2 linked regions of the Daphnia pulex genome follow. The protein of the gene in region 2 interacts with the protein of the main gene of each other region in a biochemical or structural test. Links are inferred from orthologs where the notes say so. Each region holds a gene or a part of one and is shown on either strand. Other genes may lie near its edges.

Region 1 (3,320 bases), on a different chromosome or scaffold from region 2:
AGTTTCTGCAGCCGTTCAAAAGGAACCATGAAATTATTATTCGTGTTTCTACATTTTTTTTTTCATGGCCACTGACCTAATTCAGTATCTGACCACAGCCTGTTGAAAACAGACCTATCATAGAAACACGAGCGCTTGAATTGCTTTCTTATATTGCCCCTCCCCATTTCCGGCCTAACAGCTACCTAGATTTGACTAATCCTGTCGACGTTTTTTTAACTGGCACGATGATAGTTTCCCATCATAACGGTTAAGTTGCCCCGTCACCACCAGCTAGGTTTTCGATTCTTTTGTCAAAACTCAAAAACCTTAATTCTATTTGATCCTTTTGTGCTATTTCTTTTTCAGGAAGCGTTATTCGAGGTTTCTTTACCATTCGAAAGCGAGATCCCATTAACCGACTGCCAACGTCTTCTACTTGCTTCAATTTGCTGAAACTGCCAAACTACCAGCGCAGAAGTACGTTGAAGGAGAAACTCCGTTATGCCATCACTAGCAACACGGGATTCGAACTGTCTTGAATCACCTCTGCTCGTGTTAAAACAAAAATTAAAAAATCAGTCGTTTTTCAAATAGGTAAGGCGATCGCCTGACACCAAAAAAACAAACAGTATATTTTCCTTACGCGACAACTGACAGCGTGGAAAATAATTATTCTACCGTTTCTTCTCCTTCCGTTACTTCTTTTAAATTAAGCAATTCCATGTGACCTTGACCTTTTGTATCGGACTTGACCAGATCTTCAATTTCGCGGAAATTACCCGGATCGATCAAGCATACCTATTATTTAAAAAAAAAAAAAAAGGAATCACATCATTGAGCGTATTTAAATTTTAACAAATAGAGACATTGAAACATTTGCTTATTTCTAATGCAGCTTGTCTCTCCTGCAAGTGTAAGCTTTTTTAGAATGCGCTTTCTACTGTATACAATCTATATAATTGAATCACCGACTAAAATAATACAAACCAAAACTATTGTATAATAAATAAAAAGGTTCTACATAAATTGTTTTTAAATTAAAAAAAAAAAATCTATAATTTAAAAGTGTATTTTAAACTCAGGCTTACCAAAATAAGGGTGCTGTCCTCCCATTCTTCAGACTCAATGCTAGTGCACAATTTTGACAGCTTTTCTTTGAGTTTTCTACCTTCTTTATGAGCAGAAATTCTTAACCTCATATGAGCCCTCTCAATTGGCATGTGACTCTTCAGCATCTTAATAACCTCCAGAGTCTAAAATGTAGAAACATAATTTTAGAACTTTAAAAAACGGTGATTAGCTATAATACCAACCTGTTGTTTACAATTTCGGTTGGGCTTTACTGAGAAATGGATGTCTTTCATTGCTTTTTCAATCATGGTTACAGGATAGGGTCTTTTGGTTTCAGGGTTAACACATTTATCTGACACCATTGTGGCAATTTCCTTTAGCATGGAGTCTTGTTGAACATGACGCTCTTTCTCAGACACCTGCAGTTCTCCCTTTGCAAGAATCTCTTGGCAGATGACATTCTGGTCTTCCGTTCCAAAACTAGATATCAAATCTTCTTTTTTAGCAACTTGGCCTTTGGAAACATTGGAGAATACCGTTCTTGCTTGAAGAACTTCGTCGAGATCTGTTTCACTATAGGGAATTTACTTTAGATATCAAAAGCAAAATTACAATATAATTCAAATCAAACTTACACTTTATTTCTCCAAGATACGACTTTATTTTTGTAACACGCAATTTCGTATCGCTTACCACCTTTTTTCATTCGTACTACTGCTACATTTGTTAGACGAATTTGATTTGTTGGGGTAAATATTTTAGACATCTCGACTTGTGTGTGTGACAAGCGTGGCCGACAAAAAAAGATAGAATGACTAGCAGACGAAACAACAAAACTTGGGGCATGGTCATTTGAAGTTTGAAAGATTCACGGAACATTTGTTCGTGTGCTGTCTGCTGTTAAATGGCTGTTAACTTTTGCCATGAATATTTGGGATCTCGGATCTTGTGTAGTCAAGTGTCAGTAATAATTTTTATTTAATAGTTATAATATTATCTCAACTAAAAGAATATTGCAGAAAATAACATAAATTTTCTTGCTTTTGCTTGTAGGATGGCTGATAATTACAAAATTGAAAATCTAATATCTGATGATCTCACCTCAAGAAATCGAGGTTTTCTTGCTGACTCTTTTGTGCGCCCTCCAGTTGATATCATACTTCAATTTCCATGTCCTGTCAAGATATGCTGCATTTCGGTCAATTCCAGAGTTGGTTCTCAACAATCTACAGGATGTGAGATCTTCGTTCAATGTGAACAATCAGGTAAGAGAAGTGGCAAAGATATTTTGGAAATAGTATAAGTGGTATAAGTTTGTTTTATTAGTGACTTGCATGTTTTAGCCTTGGTTCTTGTAGCAGGATGTAGAATTTGACCTTCATAGATCAGAATGTATTGAAGAGAACATCTTTTATGTGGGTTGTTTTCTGATGGTGTAGTAAATAATAATTTAGTGTCTGAGGGATGTATAAAGCGTCATTAGTAACTGTGTCAAACAGATTGAACACATGTTTATGGCCAGATTGGAAATTTTTTCAAAGGAGGTTCTTTTTCTATCTTTTAACAGGTGGATATGATGCATTCAACTATGGGATTTTTAACCAGGTTGGGAAGTACTATTGGGATTGTGATAAAAAGGGGGTCTACATAGTTAGTGCTCTACATTCTGCTTCATGTAGATCACTCCCTGCAGAAAATTTTGCCAGGCAAGACATAAACGGTCGAATGAACAAGTCACTGTCGTCTGTCTGGAGCCTGCGAATCAGAATTGTTAAAACATCTGGCTCTTCTATACCAGCCCTTGGGAGCTTATCTGTATGGGGGTATGTGGATTACTCTTGCCCTGCTCCGCTAGCAAGAACTGTTCTATCCAAGTGGTACGATAACAACCAACCGAAAACTCTCTGCTCCCGTAATAGGCCTGACGTGATTGATGCCCGCAAAAGTGGCACTAACACTAACACCGAGGCCAGTCAAATTGCAGGTGCTGCGGCTGAAGATGATTTTGAAATCCCCGAAGAATTCCTTGATGGCTTGACGTGCGAAATAATGTCCATGCCAGTCCGTTTACCATCTGGTAACGTCATAGACGAGAGGACTTTGGAGCGTTTCGCTAAGCAAGAAGCGTCTTGGGGCAGACCGCCGAGCGACCCCTTTACTGCAAAGCCCATCTCTGCTAGTCATCGGCCCATCTATGATACAGCTCTCAAAGCGCGCATCGATTCTTTTCTATTGAAAGAATCTCACCGACCGTGTCTGAAAAACTG
Region 2 (4,578 bases):
TTATCAATGGGTTCCAAAGGGGCCACTATAGTCTCGCGGAATGGAACAATAGGCTGTGATGCATTAATTTCAATTTTTGCATAAGATTCTCTAAGATCTCGGAGACATCGTTGTAAATGGACTTCACCAGCGGTGATTAATACGTGTTCTCCACTTTCTTGCAGTACCACCTGTTATTAAGAAAAGGTTAGACGCACTACACGTTTAATGTTATTGGAAATGAAAGAAGTTACCTGAACGCAAGGGTCAGCTTGGTTTAGAAGTTTAAGACCTTTAATGAGTTCAGGCATTTCACTAGGCCGTGCGGGTTCTACAGCCACGCGCACAATAGGCACAACCATTTGAGACAGTTCAGTGAAGGCAGGACAAGTCAGAGTAGAGCTTAGAGTTCCTGATTTAAGAATATGCTCTTCTAAACCACCTATACCGACCACGCTTCCAGCTGGAGCACTCTCCAAAGTTTCCAGCTCCCGACCCATCATAAGGTACAGATCCCCAATTTTGACACGAGTAACGTGATGGCCGCTTTTCAAATCCTGAATTCATAGAATAATGAAAATGTTAATCATTCTTTCATTTCTATCGCAAATGAACTTACTTTTAAAGTCAAGCTGGGATCAATGTCGCCCTCCGTCGGGCACTCCATGGGATCATACTTTGGACCCAAAACGTACAATTCCTGTCCTTTTTTTAGGGTTCCGCTGAAGACACGGGCGAAAGCAACGAAAACAGGAGCTTCTTCAATTACTTCTTTTGGTTTTACTGGTTCTTCAACTTCACAAACTTTTCCTTGCTCTTGTTGTAGAGTAAGTTCGGCGAGTTTCTGTCTGACTTGCTGCCGGCGAAGTGCAATATCCTCGCAAGTTAAAAGTGTTACTTTACTCTTGGGCAAACATTGTCGATCCACCTAGATTGTAAGCAAAAATTTATCACAGATCTTTTCAAATATTCAATTATTTTACACTATCACACACGTCTAAATTGTTCAAGTTTAATTTAATATTGATTACAGAATCGTTCTTTTACCATTATCATTTTTGAAACAAACGCGATTGCAGGTGCATCGCTGGAAGAAGAACATGCTACGAATGCCTTTTTTAGTTGCTGTGTAGCTTCAGGAAGTAAACAAAATGGTTTTGACAGTGAAGACATAAGCTTTTCAGCTTTCGCATCGGTTATGTCAGACGGACTAGGTAATTTTTCGCAAACCATTCCTTCATGTAATTTCGGATTTAAAAGATTTTTTTTAAATTTAGGAATTGTAAAATGTAATCTATACTTACGAAGTACACTCTCAGATAGCGGAAGCCATTTGCTGAGTATGGCTTGTATTTGCACTTTCGGATCGGAATGCTTGAGATCTCGAGGGGCCATCTGTAACTGAAGACTCTGAACTATTTTCTCAGTCATAATTTTGTCCTTACGCACAACGACTGCATCATAAATGGACCACAAATTCTCTAAAACAACTTGGACAAACAATGGCTTTTTTGCTTTCTCTTGTGCCCCTTTTACAACAGTTTTCGTTTTGGAATTGAAATAGTTATCACCCCACAATGAAAGTTGGAGCTCTTCTTCATGTAGCCCAAGCTTAGAAGCAAACATTCGTGAAAAATCTCGTATTCTACGATTGGAAGAAAAATAAATTAATCAAGCGTATAATAAGGTCATGTCAGAAACCTACGAAAATCCCCAACCATCGGCCGCGCTTGCAAAAACAACATTGCCTTGTTCTGGAGCAAAGTAAATGTTGGAATCGTCTGCTTCTTCTAAGCCGGAGCTGCTATCCGTATTATTTTCTTTTTTACTCATTACATCGATAGTGAAGAGTTCTGCTACTTGAGCGTTTACTTGTTCAAGTAATTGTACCATACGGATATAAGCATCTAAGGCTGGTTAGATAATAAGCTATTAGAAAAACTTGTCACTGATATTTAACTATTTAAGCATGTTTTAAAATACTTACGTTGCATTTTCATTTCTACTATCAAACGATCAATCTTGTTCAACACAAGGACTGGCTTTATGTGTTCAAGCCATACCTGTTTCAACACCACTTTTGTTTGGGCACATACACCTTCAACTACATCTACTACAACAACTGCACCATCACACAACCTTCAGAAAAATTCAAACCAAAATTCAAGCCAAAATTATTAATTTTTTACATTTTTTTAGCATATTACCTCACTGCTGTTGATACCTCTGAAGAGAAATCCACATGCCCTGGGCTGTCAATAAGGTTCACCAAAAATTCTTTATTGTTATGTGTATGTAATAACGAAATACTACTGCTCTTCATGGTTATTCCTCTTTCTTGTTCATCTTTTCTGCTATCCATGTATCTGGAAACATTTCAAAATTAAATCTAGCTGCTATTCTTACAAAAATGTCATTATTTTTTACAACTAAGCAAATTCTAACAACACTATTTATACCTGCGTTATGCACATAATAAAACCAAACGATAACTTAAAGAGAAGTCAGTTTCCTGAAGCATGAATGAAAATCATAACATTTGATGTGGTCAAAGAAATAGAAAACCCAGATAACATTAAAATATTCATACCTCAATTTACCAACCAATTTCTGAGATATGATACCATTGGAGGCAACAAGTGAGTCAGCTAATGTGGTTTTTCCATGATCTACATGGGCCACTATACTGGATGAAAAAAATTTCAAGTTGTGTAGAGATTTATGATTATTTAATATTGTCAAATAACTTACCAGATATTCCTGATATTCAAGGGATTGTTTTGAAGTTCACCTATCCTCTGTCTATTAAATTGCTTCATGGTGCTGAAGGTTCTGGTTTAACAAACTTAGGCACTAGATTACAAGTTTAGAACCATGCAGCTTTACCTAATAACATGCCTGTAGCAGACAGACTAGCAGTAGTACACAATAACACATTACACCACAGCATTACACATAACCGGCGTAACTAAAATGCGCGTACTAAACTTGCGCGGAATTTTTCTGCAACTCATCGGCACGAAATATGAAATGGATTAGACTTGGCTAACGTCCGATGCCAGTTCGATGAAAGGGTGAAAAAAAAATTGTATTATTTTGTTTATTTTACCTGGATATTGAGTGTACTTTATTTATTATTAATTTTTTGGTAGTTTGTAGTTCAACTAAATGTGAATGTGTACCATTTACAAACAATCAGGAAATTTTGCCGAATTGGAAAGGCGATTCGGCAAAATGTCGATTCGGCAGCCCATTTTTTTGCCGAATCGACGAGTTCGGACGTTAGCCAAGTCAAATTTTTAGAAATGAATTTCTAATTTGATGTCTCATTAAGTATGCCGGATGTACCGTTTTATTTATATTGTGTATTATAAAATAGAAAGCTTTGTACCTATACATACAATACCCATGAAGAATTTATGCATTTAACTCGTCCGAAAGTGCACACAAAAGAAAGTAAGATAAAGCACTTACTTCACCATTCTATTTCGTAGTTGGAAAAGCATGAAACTTTTATAGACATGTTGACAATCCTTTTTTAACCTTTCGGCATAGTAAATGTGACTCGGGCAAGTTCGAAATAGTTGTCTCGCACCTTATCGATTCATATATCAAAGATTACACATTTATTCATTGAGGAAAGGCCACAAATACCCGAAGCAAGGGGGAAATTAAATATGATAATGATCATAATAGTTACGCACATTTCCATATATTTATTATATATATTAACTCCAAAGGGAAAAGAAAAGCAATGCTGGAATAGTCTGTGACCTATGTCAGATTCATTTTGTCAAGAATTATAGAAGTGATTGGGAATTATAGAAGTGGAGGCTTACAGATCAATCATAATTTTTTTCGCTTTGTAAATAGGATTTTGGAAAGCAAAGTGAAACAATGAATGTTGGCATCATCAATACAATCAACCATTTAATCGCCAACCATCTCTTTGAGATACATACGATTTTTAAATATAGGAAACCAATTACAATCCTAAAAAAAAGGAACATTCCATTGTTTCACTGCAGCTGGGCTTATGTGTGTAAATCTACTCGTGTATATTATATTAAACCCTACTCTTGTAGAAAATAAAAAATTAATTTCGTTTGCTGCACAATAAGGTAATGCCTGTGGAAGAGCAATAAATGGGAAAATTAACCTCATCAGACGGTAGACAGGAGCTGTGGGTACAGCTTGACCGCTTCATGAGGTACACAAGCGGGTCCGTCCAACGGCCAATTGCAGGCAGTGATGTAGTCATCGTACACAAGGTGAACGGGGCATTTGAAAATGTGAACTGTGTACTGGTGAATCCAGCGATCCCAGTAGCACTCGTAGAACTTTTGACAGTCTGACGGATGACGGAAGAGACCGGCTCGTACACATACCTCCGGGCCCAGCGTCTCGTTTTTGGCCGTCGCTTGGGCGACGGTGATCTTCTCCAAGTATCGGTGACCATATTCAGATCCGCTACTGCCAGTCGAGACTTTTCCGTCGTTTTTGTTCAAGGCGAGGCTGACAGAAGATGCGCTAGAATCAACAAGCTTGACGCTGGGTTGCGCAACGCTGGTGGTGAGTTGTTGGTTTTTGGAATTGACG

The links.
Region 1: the proteins of elongation factor-like GTPase 1 (region 2) and ribosome maturation protein SBDS-like interact in a biophysical measurement, tested with the Homo sapiens proteins (2 studies listed by BioGRID and IntAct, with this or other methods). The link is inferred for Daphnia pulex from reciprocal best matches to the Homo sapiens genes EFL1 and SBDS.

The regions. Positions count from the first base shown.
Region 1 is NC_060020.1:5,634,498-5,637,817, forward strand, and holds ribosome maturation protein SBDS-like, read right to left. Parts: upstream 1,874-3,320; 5' UTR 1,820-1,873; coding exon 1,689-1,819; intron 1,627-1,688; coding exon 1,296-1,626; intron 1,236-1,295; coding exon 1,071-1,235; intron 1,009-1,070; exon of another isoform or gene 781-1,008; coding exon 652-780; 3' UTR 565-651; downstream 1-564. Other genes in the region: ubiquitin-protein ligase E3B-like, read left to right, coding at 349-521; RING finger protein 37-like, read left to right, coding at 1,958-2,013, 2,107-2,318, 2,621-3,320. UniProt on the Homo sapiens protein: Required for the assembly of mature ribosomes and ribosome biogenesis.
Region 2 is NC_060017.1:4,208,491-4,213,068, forward strand, and holds the start of elongation factor-like GTPase 1, read right to left. Parts: upstream 2,915-4,578; 5' UTR 2,799-2,914; coding exon 2,731-2,798; intron 2,666-2,730; coding exon 2,570-2,665; intron 2,492-2,569; exon of another isoform or gene 2,439-2,491; intron 2,346-2,438; coding exon 2,187-2,345; intron 2,119-2,186; coding exon 1,967-2,118; intron 1,893-1,966; coding exon 1,685-1,892; intron 1,625-1,684; coding exon 1,284-1,624; intron 1,215-1,283; coding exon 1,027-1,214; intron 908-1,026; coding exon 599-907; intron 537-598; coding exon 234-536; intron 171-233; coding exon 1-170. Other genes in the region: flocculation protein FLO11-like, read right to left, coding at 4,143-4,578. UniProt on the Homo sapiens protein: GTPase involved in the biogenesis of the 60S ribosomal subunit and translational activation of ribosomes.